Struthio camelus: one gene and its partners. The main gene of each other region encodes a partner of the protein of the gene in region 3 in a complex. Links are inferred from orthologs where the notes say so. Each region holds a gene or a part of one and is shown on either strand. Other genes may lie near its edges. The genes, in order: CORO2A, HDAC3, TBL1X and protein zyg-11 homolog B.

Region 1 (7,539 bases), on a different chromosome or scaffold from region 3:
GAGCACAAAATCTATGTTAGTTTCCCCCTAAGCCAGTTGCACCTCCCTGCAAAGCTTCTGGAGATTTACCCAAAGCCTTCAAGTCTCTCACTAAAACCTCCAGGCTGCCTGGGTACCTCTCGCTCACAGCACATAGACCTGCTCCATAGTAAATGTACTCCCCCAATGCTCAGACAACGAAGAAATATGCACAGCATCCAGGCATCCGGCACCTCGGATATCCTACAGACAAGTTCAATGTGCCGCTCGCACAGGCACCACAAACCAGCTCCAGAAACCAGCAGCCTGGCCAGTGCCAACCCACCCAGAAACAGACTCACTAGAAAACCTCAGGAAGCAGATCACAGAGGCAGGCAGCCCAAAATGCACTCATTGTCCAGATACTAAAAAACTTAACAAACGCAGAAAGGTTGAAAAAATCATCCACTTATTGAAATGTGCTCCCAAAAATCTGGTCACAGGGCACAGATAAACACATTCGAGAGACAGGCAGAAATTACCCACTGGCACAGACAGCGAGAAACCCAGCACATCTCCAGGTACCCTGACATCACGTTACTGAACTGGCAACAGGAAATCCCAACCTGCTACATACATAACCAGCAATCAGTCTGATCCACAGGTCTAAAGCGAGGAAAGTCCCGGCTGATTTGCGAGGCAGCCTGACGCAGCCGGCCGCGCAGAGGGCTGTGCCTCCCCTCTCCCCCGGCAAAAGCTTCCTGCACGCACAAGACCAGCACGCTCATGCCGAATTGCTTCACCTCTAAGGAAGGGAGGTTAGGAGAAGCCGAAGGCAGAGCCAGGGCTGGACGGAAGAACTGCCTGGCTCTGCATCCAGACATCGTTAGCGCCTGGCTCTCGAGCTTCCCTGGGCTAAGGCAGCTCTTCACAGGTGAGGGGGTTGGATTTGTTGCTATGGCCTAATAGAGCAAATGAACTTTAAATAATTTGCATTGATGGAGATACAGCTTGCCTGCAATAATGCTAATTCCACAAAGACAACTCCAGTGCAGATTAAAATACTTGTTTTTTCCCCAGTCTCTAAGAAGCAATCAGCAGCCCCCCACCCTGCCTCTTGAAGCATTGCTCTAGAGTTTCCTGAGATGCTAACATCCAAACAGGAACTCCCTGCCCGTCTCCTTCAGTTATCCCCTATCTCTGATCAAACCATGAAGGACCAGAGGGCACAGCGAGTGGGAGAACAAAAGGAACAGGGATATACCGGCTGCTCCTTTGTTAACCCACCAGGCAGCCTGCATTTTGAAGTTTAAAAGACAGCCAACATCCAACTTCTCTCCTGTGTTCTGCAATTTCTCCACAGAGTTCATTTCCCTTGAGCACCCAGGAGGCCAGAAGAGATTAAGCCTGTTTAGGCAAATTTTAGAGGGGTTGCAGCAAGCACGGTGCTTCGTTAGGAACCGCTAGTGAGAGGAGGACTGGGAACGACTGGGATGCTGCAGGGCTGTTTGTCCCTACTCCAGAGCAAGACAGGGAGGGCACCACTCCCTGCCGGGTGAACAACAACACAGAGCAAGGCTCTGCATATGGCTGGCTTTCCCAGGCTATCAGGGACTTGTTTATAAAGCACCGTAATCATCGCACATCCCCTCGCAACGACCTGCCTAGCCCTGGAGACGCAGGGTCAAAGCCAGGTGCACAGGAAGAAGCAATACGCCAAAGCTGTGCTGCTGAAGGTCAAATCCTTTCAAGGGCTTGCCTTGCAACCAGGGTACCCCTCGGCCAGAGAACACGGCCCAGATGTCCCTTAGGTGGCTGTCACCATGCTCTGTGCAAGATGCGACCTGCCTTGGCATCAAGCAGCCAAAATCCCCACGCCTGCGGCACAAGGGGGCCAAATGTAATCATTCCCTCATCCCCCTCCACACATACATTATGTTTCTCTCTATATCATAAGCAAAGTTACACAGACGTTAAAACTGTGCCACTTGTTGAACCAGCAAGCAGGGCTGACAGGAGGAAGTACCGGCTTTCCAGAGAGGCAGCATCCTGCTGACTCCAATCTGTCTCGAGCCAGCATGAACCCATGTTGCTCTGTGCATCTGCTATGCACCTCTGAGTTGAAAACAACTCTAAGCAGATGCCCCAGAAGCCAGTGAGCTCCAGCCAAGGGTTGGCTTTTTCAGTCTGTAACACTCCGCATAAAAGATCACCCTGCAGTTACCTACAGTAAAAACTCTGTACCATGACGTAGCTGGAAAGTGAAATTCCTGCCCAGGGGAAACATATAGTACTCCAACCATCAGCTATGTCCTGCCACAATGGGGAAAGCACCTATAGATGCCCGCACGACTTAGGGAGCAGAGCACAGGATGCTTCCCTCCCACATCGCTCCCACCAGCACTATCGCACATCTCTGTAGCTGGAGCTCTTAAGCTTCCAGAACAGTGTTTCCCTGACAGCTGCAGATTCAAAAATCGTGGAAGGGTTAACACATCCTCCCCTCCTCTGGGGAAAGCAGAAAGTCTGCTTTCTGGGCTTGGTGGGAAGGCAAGGGGGGCGCAGGGACCTCCATCTCTGTGCAAAACCTTACCCTGGCTGCACAAAGCAGGGTGGGGCCCTGCGGAGCATCACGCGTCCTACTCGCCCACCCAGCAGACGGTCCAGGTACCAGGCAAACGGGGCCTTTCCAGGACGGTGGGAGAGGCGGTCTGCCTGCCATCATCCCCTGGAGAGGTGCCTCCACGGCCCAAACATCCCTGCTGCTCTGTCCGGGATGTCGGACTGGACTGCTTGCAGAGAAAAGGCAGTTCAGCTGGGCCGTGGGCCGGGGTGCCCGGGGCGGCGTGGGGCGAGCTTTTCCCTCCCGACGGCGCCAGGCGGGGAAGGCGCAGGGAGGGCACGGCCGCTGCTCAGCGGGCAGCGGGGCATGGCCACGGCTAACGCCACCCGCAACCACTGCCACCCCCACGGGTGACCTCCTCCCCGCCACACCGGCTGCGGCAGGTGCCCGAGCTACACCACCCCCGGCGCAAAGCGCCCCCTCCTCTCCTCCACCCACCCACCCACCCGCGCGTGTTGTCCCCCGCCCCACGCGTGTCGCGGACGGAGGCAGCGGGGCCGGTCCCCCCTCCTCTCCCACCCGGGACCGAGGTCTCCTACCTCGGCGGCGGGTCGGCGCGCCCGGCCGGCGGCGCTCAGGGCGTGCACAAGGGAGCCGAGCCGAGCCGAGCCGAGCCGAGCCGGCTCCGCCCCGCCCCGCCCAGCCGCGCCCCGACAGTCGCGATAGTCGCGACACGCCCCCACCCCCCCCACTCCACCCCCGCAGGTTATCCATGCGAGGATCCCGCTGCGCGGACGCGCGGACGCGCGGACACGCGGACACGGACCCCGGCACCGGCACCCACCAGGGCGGCGGCGGCGGGGGAGAGGTCCCCGCCGGCGGTGGTGAGGTTCCCGGTCGCCGCCCTCCTGCCGACGAGCCCAAAGGAGCTGCCGGCTCGGTTTCCGACGGCTAAAAATGCACGGCGATTCGGGAAACATCGGGTGGCGCTTTGAGGCTCGTCTTGCTGCGAGCAGGAGAATGTGCTGGAGACCTCCAGAGGTCCCTTCCAGCATAACCGCTCCCTGAAGCAGGTCTGTCAGGGGAGTGCTGCTGCCGACCATGCGTACGGGGCCGTTCTCTGTCATGGAAAGCGGGGTGTTCACTTTCCTGCTTTTTAGGGGGAGTCCTCATGTAACTGGAGCAAAACGTCTCCTTTCCCTAGGCATCTCTGACCCAGCTCGCTCTGGGGTAGGTGCCCACAGCCCCCTAACACTGCGACCGCAACAGGTAGGTCCTACTGGAGGAGTTGGGTATATCTTCCTAGGAGATCATCCCGACAGTGTCAAGACTTTGCCATCATCTGCCTAGTGCGCTGCCCCAAGACCCTGCCGTAGTTCATACGGCTATGCCAGCATGTTTCTGTATCTTAGGCACACCGCGCTCTGCTGTGTACTGCTCCTTGAATGCTGCCCGCACCTGTGTGACCTTTATGAGTGTGCCAGCCTTAGCTAGCAGCTGCTGCCTTGCTCTGCCGTCCCTGGCAGGTGGAGATCTGCTGGCTCATGTGAGCCTAAAGCTTCATATATGCCCAATGGCTCCAGAGACCTTCCTGTGCTTGCAAAATTCACACTCTCTCTGGGGTGAGTTGGTTTCTTGGCACACTAGAAGCCCCCCTAGTACCCTGGATGAGGAACACGGCAAGTAGGTGGCAAAGCCCAAGATCAGTCAAAAGGGCAATGAGACTTGTTTAGCCAGGTTACCCACCCAACTAACATCTCAGGTCCTGTCTGAATAGAGCCTCAGAAACAGCTGGCTTTTCTCCACATCTTAGTGCCCCTAATCACAGGTTGGCCGTGGCAGCTCCAGGCTGAGACGGGGCATGACAACACTGCGAGACTGGGTGTCCACCACAGATGAGATGCTGCAGTTCAGGTGCATCTACACTGATTCTGCCGTGGCAAGACAGGAGCCCACCAGTGCCTTGGGGCAGCTGAAGTCCTTTACGGGAGGAAGAGCAATCCCACCTAATCCTTTGAGGGAGCTGAGCAGAATTTCAGAATTAACCATCGATGCCCAAGAGTGATCTCCGTGCTTGCTGCCAGCTTCCAGGCTGGGACAATCCAGGAGACTGAGGCAGTCACGCAGAGAAACTGCTGCTGAGAAGCACTGCCCATGAATGGAGCACAGGAAACAAGCCAGCTGCTGACACCAAGCCATGGTGCTTGTGTAGGAGCTGTATTCGGCTTGCCCTGCATACAGGCAATGGGAAGGCATCTGAAACTCCTTTGCACCCTCACCAGTATGTGCTCGTGTCTTCAACACAGGAGAAATAGCAGGTGCAGAGATGCACATCACCGCCAGTGCTTCCATTCAGAACACTGTGGCCTCACACCTGGATGTGGCTGGAGAAGATTGCTCCCCAGGGCTGACAGGAGGACAAAGATGTCTTTGCTTGGGGTTCTGGGTGGGACACCTCCCTCCAGACTGCAGCCCTGTCTGCTGTAGTTATCTCTAGCTCTGCTAGTCTTTAGGATTTTCTAGAGGAGTAATTACAGAGAAATAGGTGATGCATGAGTGCTGTTCCTCAGACCTTTTGTAGATGTTGGCCCTGGAACAAAGTGAACTGCTGCCCGTTCTGCTTTGCTTTCTTTAAGTTTGGATGACTGGGACTCTTGGTGTCTGTACTGGGGTGTCCTTGACAACTGGGATGAATCCTACCCTTTGGCTTTCCTTTCCTGGGACTGCTCGGCTGGCGATCCAACAGCAAGGGCCTGGCTGAGCAACTGCTGGTGGCAGCCTGTGTCCACAGAGCAGGCTTGGAACAAGAAACCCTCCAGGGTGACCCTGCGGCACTGTTCCCCAGCACAACTCTCCTAACCTGATTTGGCAGCATGACTAGCCCCATCCACAGAGCACCCTCACACAGCACTTGTTGTGCTCTCTAAAGATAGCCTCCAGCAGCCCCAAAGAAAATGCTGTTGTTTGCTCTTTCTGTTGCAATCCAAAAGCAAAAGTTGGAGCAATGTGCCCTGGAGCTCTCTCTTGCCTCATATCCCTAAGCATCAGAAATCAGGCTAAAAGCAGGGTAATGTGATCGTTAGGCTTCTACCCACAGATTGTCCAAAATTAATGACAGGTGAAAGAACACCACAACAGCCAGAAGAGCTCGTATGAAAGGGAGCTTGACAACAGCATGTTGTTCACCATTGTAGGTCCACTGATAGCTAGAAATGACACATAGCAGTACAGCCTGCTGCAAGCAGCCACAAAGAAGAGAGCTGGAAACCATTGTGGCTGCTCTGCATTGCAGGAGCTACCTCAGCGTAGTCATGTGCGTGTTATCCATATGGCTGCACCCCATACGTAGCTGGGTGCAGTTCCCATGGAGCAGGGTCCTGCCTTGTAGGGCTCAGTTGCAGAAGCAGATGAAAAGAGACAGAAGAGAAACTGCTTTCTGCGTGGTGATGCCTCCCATAACCCTAGGATGCCAGGCCCTGTGGCCATAGCCAGTTTGCAGAGGAAGTATCATCAAGCAGGCATACTCTTAAGGCTGTGCTATGCTAGCACATGGCCCAGTACATCTGCCCTGAAGAGAAGCTGCTGCAGCAAGCATCATACAGTGCATGATCCCAGCCTGCTGAGGAGAAGGGGCCTGACGTGCCTGGCTGTGGTTGGTTTGGATGGAGCCCTTCTTGGGTCACTTGTAGTAGTGGTATACGTATACCTCCCAAAGGCTGGCTGGGGTCAGATTAGACTGCCACTTGGAGGAAGCCTCTATTTAGTTATACCCAATTACTGTCACATTTAATGAGAATGTCCTTAGTTTTGCCATAGTTATTTCCAGCCCTTCAGATTTCAAGATTGCTGACTGTGTAATGTGTGCAGTGGCAGGTGGTAAGAGGTAGGGCAGAAGCTGGGCCCTCTCAATGCTGGCCAGCTTTAGAGACATTTAAAACACTGTTGCGATAACAGGGTCAAAACTGGAAGTCTTTCCAGAGTTTATGGCATTGGCATTCCCCCTTCATGTGCAAGGGTTTCCATCATGTTGAAAATATTAAATTATTGGAAGCTAAAGCAAAAAATGACAGCTGGTTTTAATTTCCTTTTGTAATTTTTCCTCCCTGCAAAATGTTACAGTACTTTTGTGCTAACAGAATCACTTTAAAAAGAAAAATTAAGGCATAACTTTAAGTAGGGGACTCTGATGTTGAGCCTGTATTACTTTTTCTGAAGGGACTTTGAAATGTACTGGGAGTCCTCTGTGTGGCTATGTCAACTTGTACTTTGCCTGAAGTCTCCAAGCTTCCTGCCAGCTTGGCACCAGAATGTGGCAAAGAGGTTTGTATTACAAAAATTAAACTTACAACCAGAGCAGATATTGATCCACCAGCTGGAATCTCAGTGCCAACCTTTGCACCTGGCAGGAAGCCATTGGTTAATAAGAGCAAGAAATCAGGACTTTTTATCACTGGTGCTGGACTGTGCGTCCAAAGTGAACATCTGGCTGCAGCGGGATAGGGGACCCCTCATCCCAAATGTGCTTGCTACAGTTAGTACTTTTGTCTTCCACTTGCTAATGTGGTGTGCTGTTTTCCTCTTTGACAAGCTGCTAAGCCTGAGCAGAAAGTGCGTGAGGGTATTCTCACGCTTTTGTTTCTAAGTGCAGCCCACAGCCTCTCACTGAACTGAGAGGGGGTGGAGGGGGTTAAATTGCCTCAGCGCTGCCACTATGGCACTGGTGTACCCTAGAAAGCCATTTGCCTTTTTGCACCTGAAATTTCCCTGGGCAAAACAGAGCTAACGTTCTGCAGAGAGCTCTTAACACCAGAGAATCAGGCAGATAGCTTTGGCTCAGAGGCTGGCATCTCCCTGAAGCAAGGTGATAAATAAGGCCTTAATAAGTCCGCCATGGAGGCAGCAGGTTGGCAGTGAGTGAGGAAAAGCTCAGTTTGTGGGACAGCTCCTGCTGCAGGGGGTTGTCCACCCCATCGTGGTCAATGCCTGGTCAATCAGCACTTCAGCTCTGTCCTTCCCCC
Region 2 (7,964 bases), on a different chromosome or scaffold from region 3:
TCCCACAGACACCAGCTCCCTTACCATGGCATTTGGTATGGGTAAGAAGCTATCAGGAACACAGTCAAAGTTAGGAGGGCAGAAATAACACAACTGCTGAACCTCTTACATCTCAAAGACCCTCAGAGCTGAACTGGCCCATGTGGATGGGGAAGAGAGGTGAGCAAAGGGAAGTGTTGGCATACATTTGTTCTTGCCCGCTGCTGAGGCAACCCACAACGCATTCAGACTAGATGCCCCTTGCAGCCATCTATGCGGTGGTGAGAGCCCTCGTTCCTATCCACAAGCGGTCAGGCGATTCATGGAAGTAACACTCAGGAGCCCAAGATTCTCTTTTATCCCCATGACTTCACCAGGTTACAGCACATCATACGTGCCATTCTTCTGTCTGTTATCCTGGCTGGAAGACAGGCCACGGCCATAATATAGTCCCAGTACGGAAAGAAAAGACCACGGGCAGTGGGAGACCTTTTGGGCCTGATCCTGCCACGCGTTGCTGGCGACACAGGATAGGAGAAGTCTCCTGACCACAGTCTAGCGAGCTGCCACAAACTACAACATCACATGAGTCTCCGCTGATCAAGATCTCAGAAGCAGTTCACGCCTTGCCTTCTTCTTCTCAGAAGAAGTTCACGCTTCTCTGAAGAGACACTGGGCCAAGGACCTTGCAGTTTGGACTTTCTCCTAAGCCCTAGGGTAATGTAGTCATGGTAAGCTTTTTTCCCATTTGTTCTCGTGCCCACGCTGTCCTTTAGAATAAATCATTCTTTCTCCTCTCTTGTGTTTCCGCCCACCCGATGTATTTCTGCATGGCAATCCTATCCCCTTTCAGCCTTCATTTTTGCCAGGCTAAACAAGCCCAGTTCACTTAACCTCCTCCTGCAAGACAAGATTTCCATTCTCCTGCTGCCTCAGCTGTCTAAGCATTTCCAAAACCAAGGAGGCACATGATGGGGAGAAGGAGGAAGGCACAGCAGCCTGTCCTGGGACATATCCTGGCTCTGCCTGGGGTGTAGGAGGTTGAACCAGGACAAGCAATGAGCTCCTTAGCTCCGTTATCTCAGTCGATTGCCTTCCTCCTCCTCCTGGGGGTCTTGAGCCGCACCGGCTGCAGCGCATTGTACTGGGCACTCGGGAATACAAATAACGAAGCAAAGACTCGGTGCCACCAGTCGCAGGATGCCCAGAGTCTGCTTTGCCTTGGATTTGTGTCCTTGCTCTCCCCTGTCCTTCCACCTACTCCTGCAACAGCCTCAGCTCCTTCCCCCCATCCTCTGTGACCCCAGTAGTTAAGACAGAGCACGAGATCAGACAGCGCTGGAGCCAACAGCAATTCAGCAACAGCTCCCGGGCAGGCAGCTGCCTGTTTGCTGCCTGCCTGCTGCACTCACCGCTGAGATCCCCCCTGCCTTTCCTCCCCAAGTCACTCACGTGGACTGTCCTGGCAGGTGCATATATAAATCCTGGAGGAACCTCAGGATCTTTGAGGCTTCTGTCCCTCTTGTGAAATTGCCCAGAAGCAATTTCAAATTTAAAATTTTAAGCCATCAGGTTTGAAAGTTACTGGGGGAGGGGGAGGGAGGGGGGGAGGGAGGGAGATGGAGAGCATGAGCCACATGCATCGTCCCCTCGGGTGACCAGCTCCCCAGAGAGACGCTGCTCCATCGCGCCATGCAACAAACCATCCCACAAGCTGCAGTCCCAATTTATCACCATATTGCTGCTTTTCTGCTCTTTTATCACGGCTTCTCTACAGTGATTATAATACACGTCATACCACAAACAATGCCAATGCACCCATTTTGTGGATCATCCGCTCTGGCCGTATTGATTGTCCACGTGGCAGTTAACAAAACAGGGCAGATTTCTAGGCTCTGAAACTCCTGTGGACAGGCTCCTTGTGGGGTCTCTACCATGATGCTCAGCATGGAAATTGCCACTATTTCTGTGCAAATTCTATGCCTAAATTGCATTTCCTAAAACATTACCCTGAATCTTAAAACCATTTAAGACTTTCTAATGTGCCCAGCAAGCTAATGGCCTTTAAAATGCAACGTATTTTTGCTATTTGCACACAAAGAGTATCTAAAAATATCCTTCTCCTATGACTTCTTTGCAGTGCTCCAATACCTGTCAAAATGCCCTGAACAGTTACTGATTTTCAGAAAGTGAATTCAGCTAGCAAAGTCTCCATGCAAGCAAAATATACTCAAGGAAGGAACGCATTTCTTACCTATTTGCTCCTTTCCCATAGCCAGGCGGGTCTGTGGCTCAGCCGAGCCGTTTACGTAGCTCTACAAACCCGTGGGGTTGTTATCTGGTCGCTGCACCTTTCTGATCTGCAAACAGCCCGTCATGCTGACTGATCAGCCATCGGTGAGACGTCAGCTGGAGTGGAAACCCAGCCGGGGAGCAGAGCGCCGCTGACTTGAATCATTTGTTGCTACATCCTTGCTGCTTAGATCTAGCCCACTAAAGTCCACATTTATTTGACTTGGGGCTACACTAGGCTCCTGGGCCCTGAAATGCACGCTGTGTCTGGTGCATGTCGGGTACCGTCTGCACGAGGCCTGCTGCCACATGCAGCCCCAAGTGGCATGGGGGAAAGAGCTACTACAAGCCAACCAATTTCCCTTCTGCATGTTTATTACCCAGGTAGAACATGCTTTTGCTGAGAAGCTGGGGAATCTCCCGGTACAAATCCGTAGTGCTCTCTATTCTGAATCTGCTCCTCTTACCATGCCCGCAGGGAGCCCCAATTTTGGGGCTGCCCATTTGCCCTGTTCCTCTCTGATACCCTACAGAAGCTGCCATGACCTATTATACTGCAGGTGTCCGTGACCATCATGTCTCAAACGCAGCATCCTTCATCTCCAACCTCTTGCCAGTGGGATCCACGAGGGCAGATTTTCCCAGCTGCACAGGAAACCTGCAGGACCGATTCCCTGCTGACCTCAACTCTTCTGCTCTCAGTGAGGTTGAACTTGACCTAGAAAAGTAGTTTCTGTTGTTGGGTTCGTGGGAGGATGTTTTGTTTGTCATGTCTGTGGTTTAGCTGCAAAAATAAAGCTGTTGCAAAATTCCTGGCTAGTCTTTCGTCTACTTTAGGTCTCCCAGGCTCTTCCTGCCCGTTGCGTTTCCCTGTGTCTTCCTTTCCAGTGGTGTTAGCCCTGGAAAAATGGGACTGCCTCATCAGAAATTTAAAATAGAGAAGCATCAGAAAGCTTTGAAGCAAAGCGAGGACTACATTGCAAGAGCCAGGCATCCCGTCTCCAGCGCAGGGCTATCGCCGCAGCGACAGCGACTGTCTGCAAACCATCAGCGCCATCTGAAGCTGCTTCTTGTGCTCCCCAGCGAGAGGCCACCCTTTTTCTTCTAATTTCTCTCTCGGGATGTTCCTCTCCGTCAGTCCTTTCCCACAGCAGCTGTGGAAAGTCGGTCCTTTCCCGCAGCCCCTGCTCCCTCTCCTCCTGCGGCCAGCTCTCTGCGGGCTCCGGGGACGTCCCCGCCACGGGAGCCGGAGGAAGGTCGCCCTTCGCCGGCCCCACAGAAGGCCAGTTTCACACTCTTGCTAATCCCTTTTCTGACCCGCTGGGAAACGCCGCACGTCGCTTTCCTCTTTTCTTCTTTCCAGTGATAACACGTTTTTTGCCACCTCCTTCACCCACCCAGGGTCTCCTGCTCCTGGGGCAGGTGTCCGTGTACCCTGCCTGTTCTCCAGGGGAGGTTTAGGGGTTTTTCCCCTTTCCTGGTCGCTGTTTTTTTTATACACTTCAATTTTCCCCGTAGCTTTTGTTCTCCGGCTGCCCTGCCTGCCTCGAGGTGCCTCCCTGTCCCCAGTCGCTGCCAACCCGGGCTGATTATTTCTGAACGCTGCCAGAGGTCAGGAGGACCCATTTCTTGCGGGCTTTTCCCGGCTGTGCCGCGCCGGGGTGGGACGTTTGAGGTTGGCTCGGCCACGTCCCCGCCACGCCGGCAGCCCCCGGCCCGCTAGCGCCCCCCGTTCGGCGCGGCGCGCGGCCCCTGGACCCCCCCAGCGAAGGGCTGAGCCCCGCCGCCGCCGGGCTGCCACCCCGAGCCCTCGCGCCCCGTCCATGGCAGGGGCGGGCGGGCAGCCCCGGCCCCCCGGGCTCCCGCTCGGGGAAAGCGCGGGCAGCCGCCGGCTGTCCTCGACGGCAGCAGGGCCGGCACCAGCGCCCCGGGCCTGCCTGCGGCCCGCCACGTCCCGCCGGCACCTCGGAGGCAGGGGGCCGAGCCCCGGGCAGCCAGGGAGCCCGGCGTGGGGTGACCGGGGGGGGTCGCTGGGGGCAGCTGGGGGGGACTGGGGAAGTTAGGGGACTGGGGGAAAGCTGGGGGGGACTGGGGGGCAGCTGAGGGGGGACTGGGGAACCTAGGGGACTGGGGGGCAGCTGAGGGGTGATTAGGGGCAGCTGGGGGGGACTGGGGAACCTAGGGGACTGGGGGGCAGCTGAGGGGTGATTAGGGGCAGCTGGGGGGGACTGGGGAACCTAGGGGACTGGGGGGCAGCTGAGGGGTGATTAGGGGCAGCTGGGGGGGACTGGGGAACCTAGGGGACTGGGGGGCAGCTGAGGGGTGATTAGGGGCAGCTGGGGGGGACTGGGGAACCTAGGGGACTGGGGGGCAGCTGGGGGGGACTGGGGAGGCCGGGGGGGCTGGGGAGCAGTTGGGGGGGACTGGCGGGCAGCTGAGGGGTGATTAGGGGCAGCTGGGGGGGACTAGGGAAGCTGGGGTAACTAGGGGGCAGCTGAGGGGGACTGGGGGCCGCCGGGGCGGGGGGGGAGCAGCGAGGGCCGCTCCCACGCAACGGGGCAGCCGGGGCTCAGGGGCACGACCGCGGCTGCGCACACCGGGCCCCGCCCCCAAGGCCCGGCAGGGCTCGGCGAGCCCCGCCCTCCCCTCAGGCCCCGCCCCGGCGCGGCGGCTCCCGCGCGCGGCGGCGGTGGGCGGGCTCGGGCCGCGACCGGTCGCGGCGCGATGACGTCGGCGCGCGCGTGCGCCCGCGCGCGGCGGTCCCGGCCTCTCCGCCATGGCGAAGACTGTGGCCTATTTCTACGACCCGGACGTGGGCAACTTCCACTACGGTGAGGGCAGGGCGGGGCGCGGGGCCGGGCCGGGGGCGGCGGTGGGCCCTGAGGAGCGGGCAGGGACCCGGCGGGAGGGGCCGGGGCTGCTCGGGGCCGGTGCCCCCCCCCCCCCGCCCCCGGTCCCGGTCCCGGCTCGGGGGCCAGCGCCCCCCCTTCCCGGTCAGCCGCCGGTACGGCGCTCCCGCCGGGCACAGCCTGGTCAGCGGGTCGGCACAACACCCCCACACCCCCCCGCACACGCACATTCTGGTCCAACGGCCGGTACAACGCCCCTGGTCAGGGGCCGGTGCGACACCCCCCCCATCCCACTCAGGGGACTGGTACAACCCCCCCCCCCCACACACACATCCCGGTCAGGGGACTGGTACAACCCCCCCCACACACACACACATCCCGGTCAGGGGACTGGTACAACCCCCCCCACACACACACACATCCCGGTCAGGGGACTGGTACAACCCCCCCCCCACACACACACATCCCGGTCAGGGGACTGGTACAACCCCCCCCACACACACACACTATCCCGGTCAGGGGACTGGTAAAACTCCCCCCCCCCCACACACACACATCCCGGTCAGGGGACTGGTAAAACTCCCCCCCCCCACACACACACACACACATCCCGGTCAGGGGACTGGTAAAACTCCCCCCCCCCACACACACACACACATCCCGGTCAGGGGACTGGTACAACCCCCCCCCCCCACACACACACACACATCCCGGTCAGGGGACTGGTACAACCCCCCCACACACACACATCCCGGTCAGGGGACTGGTACAACCCCCCCACACACACACATCCCACTCAGGGGACTGGTACAACCCCCCCACACACACACACATCCCAGTCAGGGGACTGGTACAACCCCCCCCCACACACACACATCCCAGTCAGGGGACTGGTACAACCCCCCCCCACACACACATCCCACTCAGGGGACTGGTACAACCCCTCCCCCACACACACACATCCTGGTCAGGGGACTGGTACAACCCCCCCACACACACACACATCCCACTCAGGGGACTGGTACAACCCCCCCCCCACACACACACATCCCACTCAGGGGACTGGTACAACCCCCCCCACACACACACACATCCCGGTCAGGGGACTGGTACAGCCCCCCCCCCCCACACACATCCCACTCAGGGGACTGGTACAACCCCCCCCCACACACACACATCCCACTCAGGGGACTGGTACAACCCCCCCCCACACACACACATCCCGGTCAGGGTACTGGTAAAACTACCCCCCCAACACACATCCCCGTCAGGGGACTGGTACAACCCCTCCCCCCACACACACACACACACATCCCAGTCAGGGGACTGGTACAGCTTCTCTGTCCCTTTAGATTCCCCCTTGGAGAGCCTTTATCCTCCTGCCACCCTGATCCTAGCTCGGGGGGCTGGTGCAACCCTCCTTCTCCCCATTCTGAGGGCTAGTACACTCCTCATCCCTGCTTGGGGGTCAGAACTACCCCTCTATCAGTCAGAGGGCCGGTGCATCTCTCCCTTCCCCATCCCTGGCTTAGAGGGTCTTAGGGTCCCCTCCCTCTCCTAAATCTTGTCTTGGAGGATCAGTTCTCCCCATGTTTCTCCCCATCCCAGCCTAGCATGCCAGTATACCCCCAGCCTGGGGGGCTGGTATACCCCCCACACTGATTCATGCTCAGGGAGCTGGTGCCCTTCCTTCTCCCCCACCAGGCCCAGCATAGAGGGATGGCTCACGGGCCTTAGTCCCTCCACCCCCTGGCAGAAAAGTGGCTCAAGGGGTGCAGGTCTGTGACTCCTCACGTTGTTTCCCTTCCAGGAGCAGGGCACCCCATGAAGCCGCATCGCCTGGCACTGACCCACAGCCTAGTCCTGCACTACGGGCTCTACAAGAAGATGATCGTAAGCATCGCTTCTCCGGGGGCAGCAAGGCTCTGGCAGGGCATGTGGGACCCTCATCCCTACCCCTGCAGAAACACGGCTGTGGGAGGCAGCTGTGGCCAAACAGCCGTTGGAGGGAGCTATTTACCCCTGGGCAGACAGGAAACGTGTTAGAGATCCATGCTCTATCCTAATTTTCAAGGCTCACTTTTGCCACTAACTCCAAATAGTAGCCTCTATTTTAAGGTTTGGGCTATGTTAGTAAGTTCTCCAGGGCTTTCTCATGTTGCTGCTTCTTGTTCAGCTCCCGTTTGTGGCACAGCAGGTAACAGAGTTGTTACAGGCAGGGCTCCAAGCGGTCTTGGCCATTTTCACTAACATGAGGTCATCATTAGCTGTTGGCACCTTGTTAAAGCTTGTGCTTACAGTACCATACCTGGAGCTAAAGCTGTGACGGTGAGAAACGAGTGAAACGTCAGTGTCCATAGCTGCTTCTAGGAAGGACCCAGAGACCATTGTGGGATTACATGTTATCATAGAGAAGTAAAGCTGAAAAGAAAACCCAAGGGGTTAGCTAGTTCATCTTGATGCTATAAGGCAGGATTCACTAATCCTATCTCATCCCTGCTAAATGTTTGTCCAGCCTGGTCTTCAAAGTCTTTATTGCCCAACCAGCTCACACAATCTAGTTCAGTGCTTTGCTCTCATTACGATTAGAAAGATTTTATTTTCCTGAAGTCTAACTTGTGTAAACCTGATAAAATGTGACTAGCAGGTAGTGATTACCAAAAAGCAAACTTAATTCTTCTTATCTTTCAAGAAAGGAACTAATTTGAGTATAGCAGAATATGGCTACAAATCTGTGGTACCCCTAATTTGAAATATGTTACTTCACTTGGGACAGGCGGAATTGAACCAGGCCCCTTTCGCTAGAATCTTTGTTCATTTTGTTGTCCATTCCCATAGCATAGT
Region 3 (7,073 bases):
GGAACACCTCTTACGCTAATCCATTTATCAGGCTGACAGACGACTGAATCACTGGTACTATGGACCCATTCTACCAATATTTCGCAAGTCAAACTTTGGGCTCGTTACTTATCCAGTATATTTTTGCAAAGGAAAATCTACATTATTTAGAGCGGGGAGAAGAAGAAACAAACACCACATTCATCTCTTCCCAGTACTGAACAATGTTCTTTGTTTGATTAGCCCACGAAGTGTAATGCTGGAGCTATCAGGCAGAAAATGCGTATGAGATGTACCTACTAGGGAACTGTATGATGCCAAAAACAACAAGGAAATGTGCAAACACTGGAAAAATTATTGAAAGAGTTCCAGGCAACCAAAAATTTTGGAAAGTTTGCACCAATTGCTAGTTTTAGGGGTATCCCTTCTGCAGATGGTCTGACTTAGCTCTCAAGCAGAAATTTCTGCATACTATTAATTTCCTGTATATCCTTATGAATGATAGATGACAAAAGAAATTTTAAAAAAGGTTTGGGCTATATGGAGATGGGCATCAGTTGAACAGCGCACTGCCACAGAACTATGCATTCTGCAAGCTGCTAAAGAATTCTCATGAAGCTACAAATAAATGTTCAAAATTTTATTTCTCCGGCAGAAGTTTCCAGTGGTGTAATGTAAGCTATTCTTTCATTTTCTCCCTGTGGCTTTTGTTTTCAGATAAATTCCAATAAACAGACCTCTGCAGGGGCTGAAGTCATTGGGACTGCAGGTGTCTTCCCAAATGCGTCCCACTGCTGAAATGAAGACACTGTAAAAATACTAAATTCTCATAAAATGCTATTACTCTTTTAAATAATGAAAAAAAATCTCTAGGATGTCATACACTTAAGTTTCTTCTATCCCAAGGTAAGGGACAGGAAATAATATGCGATAAAACTGGTAACGGCCTGTAACATACAGAGAGATATAGAAAAGGGGTTTTGAAAAGGTGCTCTCCTCTTAGGCCCATTTCACTGCAATCAATAATCCATATTCTGGCTTAGAATCATCAGGAACAGCTGCAGTATTAACACTGTTTTATTTGGTTATTTCCCCTGGATGTTGCAATACAATAAGAAATAACTTACTGTAGTATTTTTATAGGAGTCTAAGCAATCTACTTGTTTTAAAGCTGATGGTTATCACTCATGAATTCTCTTAAAAACAATACTACAAGGTAAAGTTAACCCATGCTCTATTTTTTTTTTCATTTATTTGTACAAGAAAAAGCTTTTTAAAAGAAAAAGCTCATAAAAGAAAATTTCCAGTACAACAGGGAGAGCGGGAAAGAAGTCTGTCTGTGTTTTGGATTTTGTTGCACTCACCAAGGGAGAACATGGATTCTAAATTCAGAGCTAAGCACTAGGATAAGCACACAAAAACTAGAAAGAAATTTTACATAAGTCCAGTTACCGTCAGCTGAATTCCTCAGGAAATGCTAACCTGCTAAGAACATGCAAAAAAACACCACTTCACTCTGAAACAACTAAAACATGGTAAAAAGTTCAGGTTTACATATCTTCCCATTCTGTCTTGTTCTATCCATCTACACACTCTCTCATCTTTTAACCTGAAAAGATGGATATCAGTACAAATTCAGTTCCAAAGAGTGACTACTTAAATATCTAACAATGGAGCTCATGACTGAAACACAGTTATTCAGGGATCAAAACCAAACTGATTTAGCTGTAAATTAAGAAGCAGAAAGATGAGAGACAGCTAGCGTTTCCCAGAATCATAGGCTGACCAGCAATCTGAGAAGGGGGTGAATGAATAGCAGCTACTTGGACATTACCAGACTTGATTTCTGAAAATACAAGCACAGGTGTTTCCACTGTCTGGCAAAATACCTAACAGGTTATTAAAAGCTAAGCTGTTGGAGAGCCGGAGAGTTCTTCATGTGAACCCAGGAGCAGCAATCTCAATTTCACGTGCACTCTCCTCCCACTCCTTCCCTCCGTCTTCAAACTGGAAAACTAATTCCAGGGACAGTGACTTTTGCATTAGCCAGCCAACTTCTCTATCATTCAAAGCTAGCCGCTTTCTTCTGAGCTTCATTTCTTCCAGTTAGTATATTTTACAAAAGAAGAGAACTGAGCAAGGTCTGCCCCAAACCATATGAACCCCCAAACTAGTCAGTCATACGTTCACATGAAACACAGTATTTCACACTCCTGTTTCCAAAGACTCCTTAAAAAGGCAGTGGTATTAAACAGCCTAAACAACAGATGTAACCTAAAAAACATTTTGAAGTATAAAGTGCTGGAAAACCTTCTTCGGGTCATTTTTAATAAAACAGAACCTGGTCATCAACTTAGTAAGGGAGATACTGTGTTTGCCAGGCAGGGAATGGGACACTACCTTCATTTAGATGCTTTAAGAAGAAGCTTGCAATATTGTCAAGGAAGTCGAATTTCCTGGTCGCTACTTCTAATTTGAAATGATTCTTTATTTCTTGAGGTAAATACAATCTCTTTAAAGTACCTCCAAAATTATTACATAAACAGGCTCTTCCTTTTATTTTAAGCCAGGGACAAATATACAGCAGCTTTATAGTTAAAGACTTGCACTAAATTCTTTTTTTTTCTTAACAGAGGCTGAAAAAAATGCTTGAGGAGAAAAAAGGAATCATCTAAGAATAAAACTTGTAACTGAAGTCATACTGCAAATATACGGTAGTTACTGTACACTCGGAGGGACATGGCAGGCTAAAAAGTTACATACTATAAAAACGTAGAGGGCATTTATAAGTGCCAATAAATGCCTCTTCCAGAAAGTATGTCAGAAACAACCCAATACACTGATCTGCCAACCGAATGTTCCTATGTAATGTCTATTTGAAAACTTACCTTTCATTGTCAGTAACTATCTTCAGCATTAGTAGATGCTGAATATTTGTGCAAGAAGATTTTTGTGCCCTCTTCGTTCCTGGGGTTTTTCATGACCTGACTGGACATGGCCCTGAGGAGCTGAGTCAGACCCCAGAGTTGGCCCTGCTTTGGACAGAAGGGTGGATTAGAGGTCTTCCGAGGTCCCTTCCTCACTAAATTATCCTACAATCTTACAGTGTTAATCTCTCTGTATTAGAACTATATGTGTCTGCTGTACTGCTTACATAGCAAATAAGGCGCTTAATAAGAAAAGGAATAGCACAAGCTTGCATATTGAATTCCGACAGATCTTAAAAATACCAAACAGGAGATGCTCTTTCTGATCATACAGAGTTCATGCTGCTTAAGCAGCTATAACAAAGCTTAAGATTTATGACTGAAGACACAGGAACCTTCTGTTATACTACAAATTAGCTTTCAATTTTACCTTTTTAGCTTTTTCAGAGCTATAGTAGTAAGAACTATTTATATTAAATGAGATGATTCTTACTACCTCTTAAACTATGTGATTTATAACCCTTCCCTCAATTAAAATGCATGGTATACACTAACAGGTTACACTGTGTAGCTATCAAAAATTCACCTGAGAACACTGGTTAGACAAGTACACTAAATTAAGTAAAAAGTTTATCTGCAGTAAATAGGGCTGTGAAAAACCTGAGCATTTTGAAATACGCAGACAAAAAAAACCCCATATATCACACAGACTTTGTGGTAAAGAGAACTGGTCTGGCAGCTTCTTGGTCCAGAGAACCCAATCCTTCGAGTTGGCTAGCAACTTAAATATTTCAGTGTATTTGAACACTTCGTTCACATTGAACATAACGTAAGAGTCTGCAGTACAAGTGAAATTCCAGAAAAAAACAGAATACTTTCAAAATTAGCACCTGCGTGGTACAGTAAATAACTTCTCTAGGTTTCAGTCCAGCTGATTTGTTAATCTGATTAATCTGATGGTTGATATGAGCTGTCTCATATCTTGTTACTAGATATGCCTAATAGGAGTAAACAGGGATACATACCTCTGCACTGACACCACGCTCACCACTCTTGACTAGTATACATGAGAACACTTTATTTGCATAGTGAGATTGAGATAAATCCTTTTAATGAATTTGACTAAAGTATTATCTGTTAATATATGTGACGTTCTTTGTATTAATGCAATTCTGATACCACAAACAGTACGACCTAGCCATCTTTGTTTTAATTTTCTCATGTATTTTAAGAGATGGAAAAAGAGATGAAATAAAATAAGAGATACTCAGGCTAATAAAGCTCATATATTTTTAATGACTCTCCAGTTTGTACTTTAGTGAAAGGACACACATAAAGAATAGTCAGGATCCTAGTACTAGCAGTAACTAGTTACCTAAATGATTTAGCCAATACATTTTTTATAATCCGTCTCATGCTATGTTCAGACATAGTTAAGTTTGTAAAGTATGTTCTAGAATCATAATGATAACTGTACACTAACTTTATATAATAAATTCTTCTAGCTCTGTTCAGCAAGTATTATGTCTGTTTTTTCAAATATGAAAGTAAGAAATTGAAGTATGTTTGAAAGCCATATAGATCAGGACAATAATCTGAATTACAACGCAGACTGCTTAAAGTCTTATCTACACGTACTGTGCTAACATAACATTGCACCTTCATGTAAATTTTAGAGCAGTCAGCTTTCAAGACTGCTTTTGTGCAGTCAGTATGTGATATTACTTTTAGTTAGTACTAAAATGTTATTTTTCCCAGGATCTGAGAAGTGTGACTACTGTCGCATTCAAAACAAAATGGAAGCAGCTATGTCAGTCTTTTAATCTTGGGAACTGAACTCTCTTTCTACAAATTGAGAAGAATATGAAAAGCGAGAACAACTATTTACACAGAAAGATACCTATGTTTACTGTGCTGTTTTAAGTGAAACAGAACCTTTCTATTTCATGATGGAACATGCCAAGGATATTCACACCACTTAACTTTGATTCCAGTTTAAGTATATGTATATGGATGCTGATGCCTAAAGCTGGGTTTTATGAATATTCAGTCTTCATTATAAATGAGTGGTTCCGTTCTAGTACGTTAACAGAAGAAGGACCTGATAGCAAAACATTCAATGGAGTAAAAAAAGAATTACACCGATGATATGAGCAACAAAAAAGGATCATTAAGAGCCCGTTTGCTTCTCAGTTTACAGATTTTGTTTGGCTTTGCAATTCAGTGTTTTAGTGAGGTGCAACATGTTACAGCCACTTTTTGTTCTAGTCTTTGAAATTATTTAGGAAAATAATGTTTTAGTACAGCTTTACTTCTCAACTTACAAGGCAGCAAAGACGACCAAACGTTTGACTTCTCCATTCTGCTGAGCTACGTGAACAATTCTCAACTGAGTGACACGAAGCATGGGCTGAGAGGCTGAGAGATTCTGCTTAGAAATTTCGGGGGACAGGCATCAAAAGTTAAATTTTATTATCAAGGTAGCAATAAGCCTAGCAGCTAAATTCCCCTGCAGTTTTTATCCTCTGTAGTTTGCAATTTCTGGCTGCAGTCATGCTACTTGTTCTGACTGCATCTTCACTGGTGTAAACTTATTCCCCTGCTTCTCGTAATCACTCTTCCCTTAACGTTGCTGCCGAACATCGCTGCCCCTCAGTATCTGTGGAATAACTGCTTGGATCAGAATGGTTCTGATTAAAAGAGTTCAGAGAGTTGGTGTTAAAAAGGGTTTAAACGAACCTAGATTACAGTGAATAACTCAGGTCAGGGAGTGCCTACGTGATCGATTAAATCTCAGGGGTGCAGTAAGGAACGGTGGGGGACGATAGCCTGTTCAGCCAATTCAGCTGCCGCCAGAACAGCATGTGGGAAACACGCAGAGAGACCTGTCCTCCTTCTCAGGTTTCCTTTCTTCCTCCCCCCGCCATGCCTAACACCCAGCATCCCTGAGTCCCTGATGCACACTTCCAAGCTTCCTCAAAACACTTAGCTGCCTACTAGTACCAGGGCTTAAACTCTTATAAAAGTCAAAGCACATCGATATTGTAGCTATATACATATGTGAAAAAAAACCCTCAGTAAACCAGCAACGAGTTTGAAATACAGTCATCTTGGTGTCCTCAGCTCACCTTGTTACTGCACCTCCAGTTATTGCAGCACATACGGCATGTAACATCTCCCACTGTTTGGAGACTCCCCCTAAAGGTGAGCCATATGTTTTGCAATACCTAGACACAGCAGGGGAAGAGAAGGAAATCTCTGCAGCCTTAAGGCAGAATTGCTTTGATTTCACTGCTTTGTGTCCTGTCTTTATTTTTCTTTTAATGAAAGATTTAGCATTTTAATTTATATCGTCTAAGCCTACAGAAAAAAAATACACATGCTGGGGTGTCTGGGGGGGTGGGGTGGTGTGTGTAATACCTAGGAAATCTCTTGTGTTATCTGTCTGTATAACATTACCTTCCACTAGACAAATATATTTTTAAACAGTCTGGAATCAAAACAACATTCTCAGCATTCAAGACGATCTGTCATCACTGCCCATTTGTTGCCCTCTAGGTTTCTCTCAGCTGGCAAATTTCCCATTTAAGGAATTATCAGATTCATCGCTTAGACACAGCAGCAAAATAAAATGAAAGGCTGGATTATTCTGGAGAACTCGTATTTTTCATTCAGTGTATAAAATTCAGTGCATGAAAACTGAACATAAGAGCAAATGGAAACAATCTCTCTCTGACTTCACATTTCTCCCTCACTACACTCTCTGCAAAATCTAATTCTGACGAAGATGCCGCAACATTTATATTACGTGTAGTCTTTATTTCTTTAAAAATGTTTAATGCCACATATTATGTTAACCTGTTCTGGAGACCTGAACGCTATGTTCACAGGCAATGTTTCTTGTTCTGCTGCAGCTCTAATAACGCTTCTGCTTCTGTATATTGCTGATTCTACTCTATTTTACATAAAGATTGACTAATTCCTATGTTGCCATTTCCTCACATCCTATTTTTTCACAGAGAAATAGCAAGAGAAGAGAAAGAAAATATATTAAAATGAATAAATTGCAAGTTTTCCATACCAAGAAGATTCAGGATTTACTTGGCTGATGGAGTAGCTTGAATGTCAGAAGCTGTGCCGCAAAGCCATGCTTGCCTAGGCCCCCCG
Region 4 (7,703 bases), on a different chromosome or scaffold from region 3:
AATCTAGCATATTGTCAGCTTTTCTAAACAGAAGGTAGCAGAAAATAAACTAAACTATTGAATTAATTGTTCCTCCAAAAAGATGTGATAAAAATTAATTAGAAATTATTCTTTAGTTTCAGCTGTTGCTAGGCTGTGTGCAAGCTGAAATGCTAGGCACACTGAGAAGCACACAAATACACGCATTTGGCTAACTTGCCAAGTAAACTGACTTTCTTTTCCATAGCAAGATTGTAGCACAAACCAGTATTCAGTACCTCCCTCTGCTCCTTCAAGGGTAACCTTCACTGCTGACTGGCAAACCCACATTACTACCAGCTGCTAACAGTTCTTCAGAGCATCTATCACAAACCCAGCCACTGAGCACAGAATCCAATGCTCAGATAGGAGTGCCACATCCCACATCAGCTGTATGCCAACTCTGTTGTAGGTGAACTCTTAGAATAAAAGATGGTATTTTCACCGTCAGTTACCACAGCTTTTGTTTTTTCAGACTGAGGAATACTATTTTTAATTTGTACATAAAAGATCACACCAAACAACTGCGTGATGCTTTTTACCCTAAGGTCAGTGTTGTAGGAGATTCATATCACAAGGTTTAGAAATGTAAATGAATATATGAAGTGGCAGATGGAACCAAAAAACCATTAATCAGACCGAGTATGACAGCAAAGCATGAAAGTAAGCAGAAAGGAGACTTTCCGGGTTTGCACTGAAATCCCCTGGGCAAATCAGTGTTCCCGGCCCGTGACAGACAGGCACGCATACAGAGTGGGTCTGCATAGGCAGATATTTCAAAAAAAATGAACGCACAAGGATGCAGCTCATATTGACTGACACAGCTCCAACGTTCACAGGTTGTTGCCCAACAAATATCAATTTCATAGGCTAGAGCTCCTTTTAAGACAGCAGCTTAGTACAACTCCCTCTGAAAACCATACTCTTCTACAGAAAACAGCTTTTACTTGTATGCTGAAGAAGTGTTCCAATGTAGTTTCTTCGTATTCAACAAACAACAAAAAAACAAAACAAAAAAACCCGAGCAGTAGCTTTCACAGCTGGCCCTTTTCCTGAATCAAAAGTTTTACTACTAAAGTTATTCTTGGACAAAAGATTATTGATTTGACTCCATTCACATGCTGAATTATTTAGGAATCAAAGTATATCCAATAATTCAATTCCACAATGTTAGTTTACAATCAAATAATAACAATTTGTAAAATTAAAAGAATTAACACTAACAGCCTATAAAACTTAGACTGATTCAAGAAATTAAAGCTTCTCAGATGAAATTCTGACGAAATTATGACATTAAACATACAGTTTAAAACCTCAGTAGGATATCAAATTAGTACTTCTCCACAGAACAAGGTATTTCTTTTTTCTCCTTCTTTATATGTGTTGTTTTGAGAGTTTGATGACAGAGCACGTAAGTCAGCAAGTCTTTATATCATTTCAGGACAACAAACGTTACCTTCAGTGAGAGAATCAACTCGTTTCTCAAACCATCCTAGTACCAAGTAGCCTTAGAGCAGACTGTCCACGTGTGCACATTATCAAAGTTCCACAGGTGCTTGAAAGATTGTGGGTACAGTTTTGAATGTTTGAATTATCTCGCAACTACAATTTTTTGTGTTAGAACTTGACCTAGCACAAGCCTTGATATCGAAGTGTTACGCACAAGGGAGAGCCCTCCACGCTTGAAACCACAGGGACAAACTTCCAAAAGACCAGAAGTTTTTGCCCTCCTTAAAGGGGGGGGGGAATCTAAGCAATGCACCTAAAAACATATGTATTTAAAAATGGATAAAGGCACAGCAGAGTTGACCATGTTTGTTGCGTCCACAAAACATATGTTTATTTGTATATGCAAAAACTTACAGAATATTTACTCAGAGTAAAAACTGTATGCCCATGTGATTTAAACAACAAGTTCACTTGACAAGTAAAACTGCAGTCTTAAGAACTGCAACTGACAGTTTTACTCCCCAAACGTTAAAGAACTCGATGCTTCTTTCTGTTCTTTATGCAACTGTTTTGCCCTGTTTTTCAAAGCTTCTGCTTTGGTATCATTCTTCTCAACGCCATCTCCCATTTTGTACATTCGACTGGCATTGGCACAAGCCCACACATGACCCAGCTCACATGCTTTCAGAGAATACTGCAAAGCATGGTTCATGTCCCTAGGAACGCCAGGTGCTCCTTGGAGGTATATTACACTGAGGTTGAAGCAGCTAGGAGCAAAATTGCCATCACAGGCTTTCGTGTAATAGTCTCTAGCAACAACCGGGTCAGGTTTATCATCATTTACTCGCCCATCATGGGCCAACAGCCCAACGTTATGACAGGCCTTTATTGACCTCTTCCCACCTTTCTCACATGACTTCATAAAGGAGTTGTAGGCAGCTTTCAAATCTGGCGCGAGTCCACCTGTCAGCCAAGAAACCAAAAGATTACAGTAAGCACATGCTGCATAACCATGAAACTTTCTGCTTTGCACCATGTCTCCCAATGCTCACAACATTCCTCGTTATGAGATGCTACAGTCTACGTTTAGGACTTCAGAGACACAACTGTTGTCTCAATTACGATAGGTTTGCTAATGCCCTCAAATTAGGGAACCCTGTTCCACTACACAGTAGTCATGTAGGCAAAAAAAAAAACAAACAAACCTCTTTCCACTATTTACATAGACCTCTAACCTAAGTAACTTACACTAGACTAAGTATTTTTTGCCAGAATAATCATATGTACACTGAAACTGTTACTATTTTTTAAAACTACAGTAACAACATCACGTTCCTCACTTGCTTTGTTATTTGCAAGGAGATTCACTAATGTAATTGCTTCAAATCACTGCACCAGCAGATACTTCTTTGGCAGACTTGGGGCCTACACATTTGTGTATCTGCAAACAGTGACATCCGTCTGTAAGTTTATTTCTTCCTTATTTTCTGTAAGGAAAAAAAAAAAAAAACCAGACAGGAAGAAATCCAAGTTTTAAAAACAGGACACACTCAGCACTGAATAAACCTACCACTTATACATTTATTTGTTTATAGTTCAGGTTTTTTATAGTTTCAGTAATTAAACGTAACTTATAATTGGTTCTTCAGAGGAAAGTACTTTAGGTAAACGGGGCTCAAAATAAGATTTTTTTTTTTACACTATATCTAATACATTTAGTTGGGTAGTAAAAGGAGTATCTTAAATAGCTTAACATTTTCTAAGCTAGAAAACATACATTTCTACTCCTTGCATTGTCACAGTCTAGAAGATGCAGATAACTTGGGACAATAAACACTCCTAAATCTAACCCGAGCTGCAGAAATACAAATGCATGCTGCAGACCTCTCTAGGAGTTGCTACAGTTCCATTACAACAGCCAAGACTTTTACTTTCTCCTCAGTCTTCCAAGTCACAGAAACCTATTAGGACTGATCCGAGGCTGCAACTTTGAGCATGAACTTATAAATATATATTGCAGGGAAGTGCCAATGACCCTTGATCGACTGAAAAAGTCTGAAAACTACAGAACAAAAAAGTTTTCCACCCTTCTCTCGCTTTAATCGTGCGGCCATAAAAGAGGAAGGACACCTATTTTCTTTTTCAAGGTCAGAAGGAAATGCAGGTACTCAGCACCTCCTGAAAAATAAGAGCTACATTTCGCCACAGGTATTCAGGCACCCTCTCTCTGCTCCCGTGGCCCTTACAGCAGGGGAGTTCACACTCCTGGCAGGGCCACCACAGACTGGTACCCTCTATGCTGCAGGTAAAAAGCAGAACCTGCCACACATTCACCACTGTGCAACACGACCATGCCACCAGCTGCTCAGGCAGGAGTGTGACGGCACCAAGCACGAGGGTTTCCGAGGCAACCGGAGGCCTGAACGGTAACAAAGGGCCTTCTGCCGGGTCTCGCAGGAGGGCGGGGAAAAAAAGGCTTTCCTCCCCTCCCCCCCCACGGCCTGGCTCACCTTTCCCAATGGCCTGGTAGGCCCCGAGCTTGTAGCAGCTCTCGCTGTGCCCGTGCGCCTCGCAGTTGTCGCGCAGCACCCGCGCCGCCGCCACGAAGTCCTTCCGCACGGCGTCCAGGTAGTCGGCGAGGCGCTGGCAGCCTGCAAGGCAGCAGTGAGGGGACGCGCCGGACACCGGCCGGCGGGCCCCGGGGCGGGGGAGGGGGCCGGCGGGGACCGCTTACCGTCCGGGTCCTTCTCGCGGTAGCACTGGTAGCTGTACTCGACGTGCAGGTTCTCCAGGTAGCCGCGCACCTCCTCCTCGTCCTCGAAGTTGACGAGCCCCGCCATGCTGGCCGGGCCGCCGCGCGAGCGCCGAGACATCGATGCCAGGCCGCCCGGAGGAGCCCCGAGCGGGGCACCGCGCGGATCAGCCCTCCCCGCCTGCGGCGGGGGGATGCCTACGCATTTTCGGCAGTAACGCATTCGGCGGATTTTACTTGCTGGGTTTTGTGCCATTAGGATTCATATTTCTGAGGTTTCGTTTACGATATTTAAAGCCATAAGTTAAGACTTTTCTGTGGCGTATACATCAATATACTTTGCATGACCTGGAAGCTAGGGCTTTATTACCCATTCCACAACTCGGTGCCCGCATGCTTTTTTGTCTTGGATTAACAGCTAAATAACGGTCAGCTCAATTTTAGATCAGCAATTCTTCCTTTTTCTTCCTTCAGCAAAAATTCTGACAGATGCTTTTGATGGGAATCCTCCCTCCTAGTATGTCTGAGTGCCAGGGATATCGAGAACGCCCAGAGATCGGTAAGCAATTGACAAAACATAACAAATTGTAGTTCTCTAGGTATGGCTGAATTTACAGCTCAAGCAAGATGTGATATTAGGATACTTACACAAAGTATGGCACACTTTCCAATTCCAGCATTTTTGAGCACAAACTGAACTTTCTGACTGTAGCAGCACATTAGAAATGGACATGACGAACGGCCTAGAGTTAAAATTAATTTTAAAGAATACTTGACAATATTTTGTCCCAAATGATTTCAGTAATATAACACAGAGTTGTCAAGTTTTGGGAATATACAGAACTCAGCTAAATCTTGTGCATAGGCTCCATAGGAAAAAAAAACAGATTGTCCATTAACAACCAGAGCGAACTGCCAGGACTACTGTAGGTCGGGCCGATGGCACCACCTGCTGGACATATTACCAAAGTCCAAATACACCAGCTGTTAAAATTATTGCTACATTATTTGCTTAAAACTTTCCAAACTTTTCAGTATTTGGGTTGAAGTTATCACACACTGGCCACAAATAACGAAAATCTTCTTTCAAAATGTATCAAGCGAAAGCACTAACATGTCTGTGAGAATGCAAATAAGAGAATATATATTGTTTGGCCCATGCTGACTGACACCTGAGAACTTTCTTGTCAAGTCCTCTTCTGCTCTGCAGAAGGGCTTTGGAAGATGACCATTTGCATAGGCGCAGTAGAAACTCTTGAGTTTGCTAGTACAAATCTCCAAAGAGATTGTTCTTGCTGGGATTTCGTCTTTGCCGTTTCTGATGCCGCTGTTGTGGCAGGACCAACTCGACAGAGCAAACTCTATCCTAGGACTGCAGCAGCACAGCAAGCTTCCCTTGCTACTGCACTTCTCGAGTACCGTGGGGAGGCCAAGCACTAGCACTGAGTAGGAAATTAGCCTGTGTCTTCAAAGCTTTCACTGTTTGAGCCCAGATAGGAGAAAGGAAGGTATTTCCTATCATAAATGCAGACAGAATGAGAGAAATAAAGTAAGGACAAGGGTATGTGGGGATACTCGGGTTGGAGGGAGGGAGTGAATTTGCAATTAAGTGTAGAAGAAAAGAGACTAGAAGCTCTGAAAGACATTAGCAAGTGGGAGAAACAGACAATGCACTAAGAATAAGAATACTACCTCTTTCTTTACTTATCTAAGATCATTTATGTTGCCATAATTATATAAGTCATTTCTTCTAACCAGGCTAGTTTTTTAAGCAGTTAAATTCAGAAACGTGGGGACTTTTGATTCTGTTCTTGTCTGATCCCAAGGACGTTGTTTATTTTCTCTGCCTCGACATCCCAATCTAAACCCCAATCTAAACAATGGGACTACAACTGACTGCTGTCAAGAAGTCATTGAACAGGTAAAATTGCGTTTGTAGAATATTTTTGTTTGTAGAACGTGTTGTCATAATCTAATGATAAAAACATAAATTAGTATCTTTTCCTTAATGATTATTTATGTGTTGGTTTGCAAACAAATGCTGTTCAGAGCTGCTGTACATGACAACAGCAACTCCATAAAAGGTTTAAACCATAACATCTTCGTAATTTCGTTTTGCCTGGACAGGGTAACGGTATCACTCTTTAGTTTGTATCCTGACACAAAAATAACTGTATTTCTCTTCATGTACTTCTGCAAGTGAGGCCTGAAATTATTTGGTATTGAAGTTCATGGCAAAGCTGCTCTCCTACTTGCAGGAAGCAAAACCTATGGTGTTATTCACTTTACTGTAAGAAACGAGTTTGTGCAGGAAACCAGTTTAGATATGCAGGCCGACCCGTGAGGATGACATCAGACTCCTGACGGTGAGAGAGGCTTCCCCACAGATAAGGGCTGCTATGTAAGTGCTTAACTCCTCAGCGGACGGAAGAGCATTTGCTCAAGGGGCAAACTCACCGGCAAATCTCATTTTTCCCTTTCGTCCTTGCTCGGCCACGGAGGCAACACGACGTCGAGGAAAAAGCGCTGACAGGGGCTGAGCGCAGGAGGCCGCCGCTCCCGCCTCACACCTGGCGGCAGGAGCCGACGCGCCCTCGCCTGACGCCGGCGCCCTTTAAGGGAGGCGGGCTCAGCGCCGCTTCCCGGCCGGCTCAGCCACATTCACTTCCAGGTCGGGGCGGCGGCGGCCGACGGCGGCGGGGGGGGGGGTAGGCAAAACGGGGGGTGGGAGGGGAAAAAAAAAAAAAAAAAAAAAAAAAAGGAGCCCCGCGCCGGGAGCCGGCTCGCTGGGCGTTCGCGTCCGGCACACGCCGCGCCGCCATGGTGAGTGCGGGCGGAGGGAGGCGGCGGCGGGGGGGAGCTGAGGCGATCCGCGGCGGGGGCGAGGGCGGCGGCGCTGTGGGGCGCGGGGCGTTGCGGGGGAAGGGAGAGGCGGGGGGGCAGGTGAGGCCGGCGCGAGGCGAGGCCGGGGCGCGCGCGCGCCTTCCCCTTCTTCCCCCCCCCCCCCACCTCGCCGCTGCCAACCGTTGAGGGGGGCGCGCGCGGACTCGGCCGCCCTCCGCGCTGCGCGACGGCTGCGGCCGCCGCTTATACACGCACAAGGGGCGGGCGGGGGGCGTAGCGCGGCGCGAAATCTCCACAGCGAGCGGGGGCTTCGCGCCCCTCAGCCCTTCCCTCTCCCCCCCCCCCCCCCCGGCGCCCTTCAGCCCCTGGGTGCGGGGAGAGCCGAGCCGTCGGCGCCACCGGCTGGGCCACGGGCCTGGCTGCCCTGCTGCAGCAGCCGGCGGGTAAAAACAGCCGTTTCTGCACGTTAAAGCCAGGCCTCGGAGCAGGGCGTATGGGTGCTGCTCTGCCCACTGCCCTGCGTGGGAGATGAGCGTGCAGGTTTGCTTGTAAAGCACTGGCAGGCGCTTCCTGGGTTGTCTGGTTTAATTCCCTTGTTATTACAGGTACTGTTTCATTTAATCCCTTAATAAACTTTTTT

Evidence for each region.
Region 1: TBL1X (region 3) and CORO2A share a complex: the UniProt entries of both Homo sapiens proteins name them as parts of the N-Cor repressor complex. The link is inferred for Struthio camelus from reciprocal best matches to the Homo sapiens genes TBL1X and CORO2A.
Region 2: TBL1X (region 3) and HDAC3 share a complex: the UniProt entries of both Homo sapiens proteins name them as parts of the N-Cor repressor complex. The link is inferred for Struthio camelus from reciprocal best matches to the Homo sapiens genes TBL1X and HDAC3.
Region 4: TBL1X (region 3) and protein zyg-11 homolog B share a complex: the UniProt entries of both Homo sapiens proteins name them as parts of the E3 ubiquitin ligase complex. The link is inferred for Struthio camelus from reciprocal best matches to the Homo sapiens genes TBL1X and ZYG11B.

What each region holds. Positions count from the first base shown.
Region 1 is NC_090982.1:10,448,242-10,455,780, reverse strand, and holds the start of CORO2A (coronin-2A), read right to left. Parts: upstream 3,007-7,539; 5' UTR 2,684-3,006; coding exon 2,552-2,683; intron 1-2,551.
Region 2 is NC_090954.1:22,011,186-22,019,149, forward strand, and holds the start of HDAC3 (histone deacetylase 3), read left to right. Parts: upstream 1-4,953; 5' UTR 4,954-5,047; coding exon 5,048-5,102; intron 5,103-6,930; coding exon 6,931-7,013; intron 7,014-7,964. UniProt on the Homo sapiens protein: Histone deacetylase that catalyzes the deacetylation of lysine residues on the N-terminal part of the core histones (H2A, H2B, H3 and H4), and some other non-histone substrates.
Region 3 is NC_090942.1:142,899,347-142,906,419, forward strand, and holds the start of TBL1X (F-box-like/WD repeat-containing protein TBL1X), read right to left. Parts: upstream 3,006-7,073; 5' UTR 2,875-3,005; coding exon 2,868-2,874; intron 1-2,867. UniProt on the Homo sapiens protein: F-box-like protein involved in the recruitment of the ubiquitin/19S proteasome complex to nuclear receptor-regulated transcription units. Plays an essential role in transcription activation mediated by nuclear receptors.
Region 4 is NC_090949.1:31,701,101-31,708,803, forward strand, and holds the start of protein zyg-11 homolog B, read left to right. Parts: upstream 1-4,690; 5' UTR 4,691-4,708; coding exon 4,709-4,778; intron 4,779-6,045; coding exon 6,046-6,140; intron 6,141-6,602; exon of another isoform or gene 6,603-7,039; coding exon of another isoform or gene 7,040-7,042; intron 7,043-7,336; exon of another isoform or gene 7,337-7,668; intron 7,669-7,703. Other genes in the region: COA7 (cytochrome c oxidase assembly factor 7), read right to left, coding at 1,982-2,430, 3,978-4,118, 4,202-4,475. UniProt on the Homo sapiens protein: Serves as substrate adapter subunit in the E3 ubiquitin ligase complex ZYG11B-CUL2-Elongin BC. Acts to target substrates bearing N-terminal degrons for proteasomal degradation with the first four residues of substrates being the key recognition elements.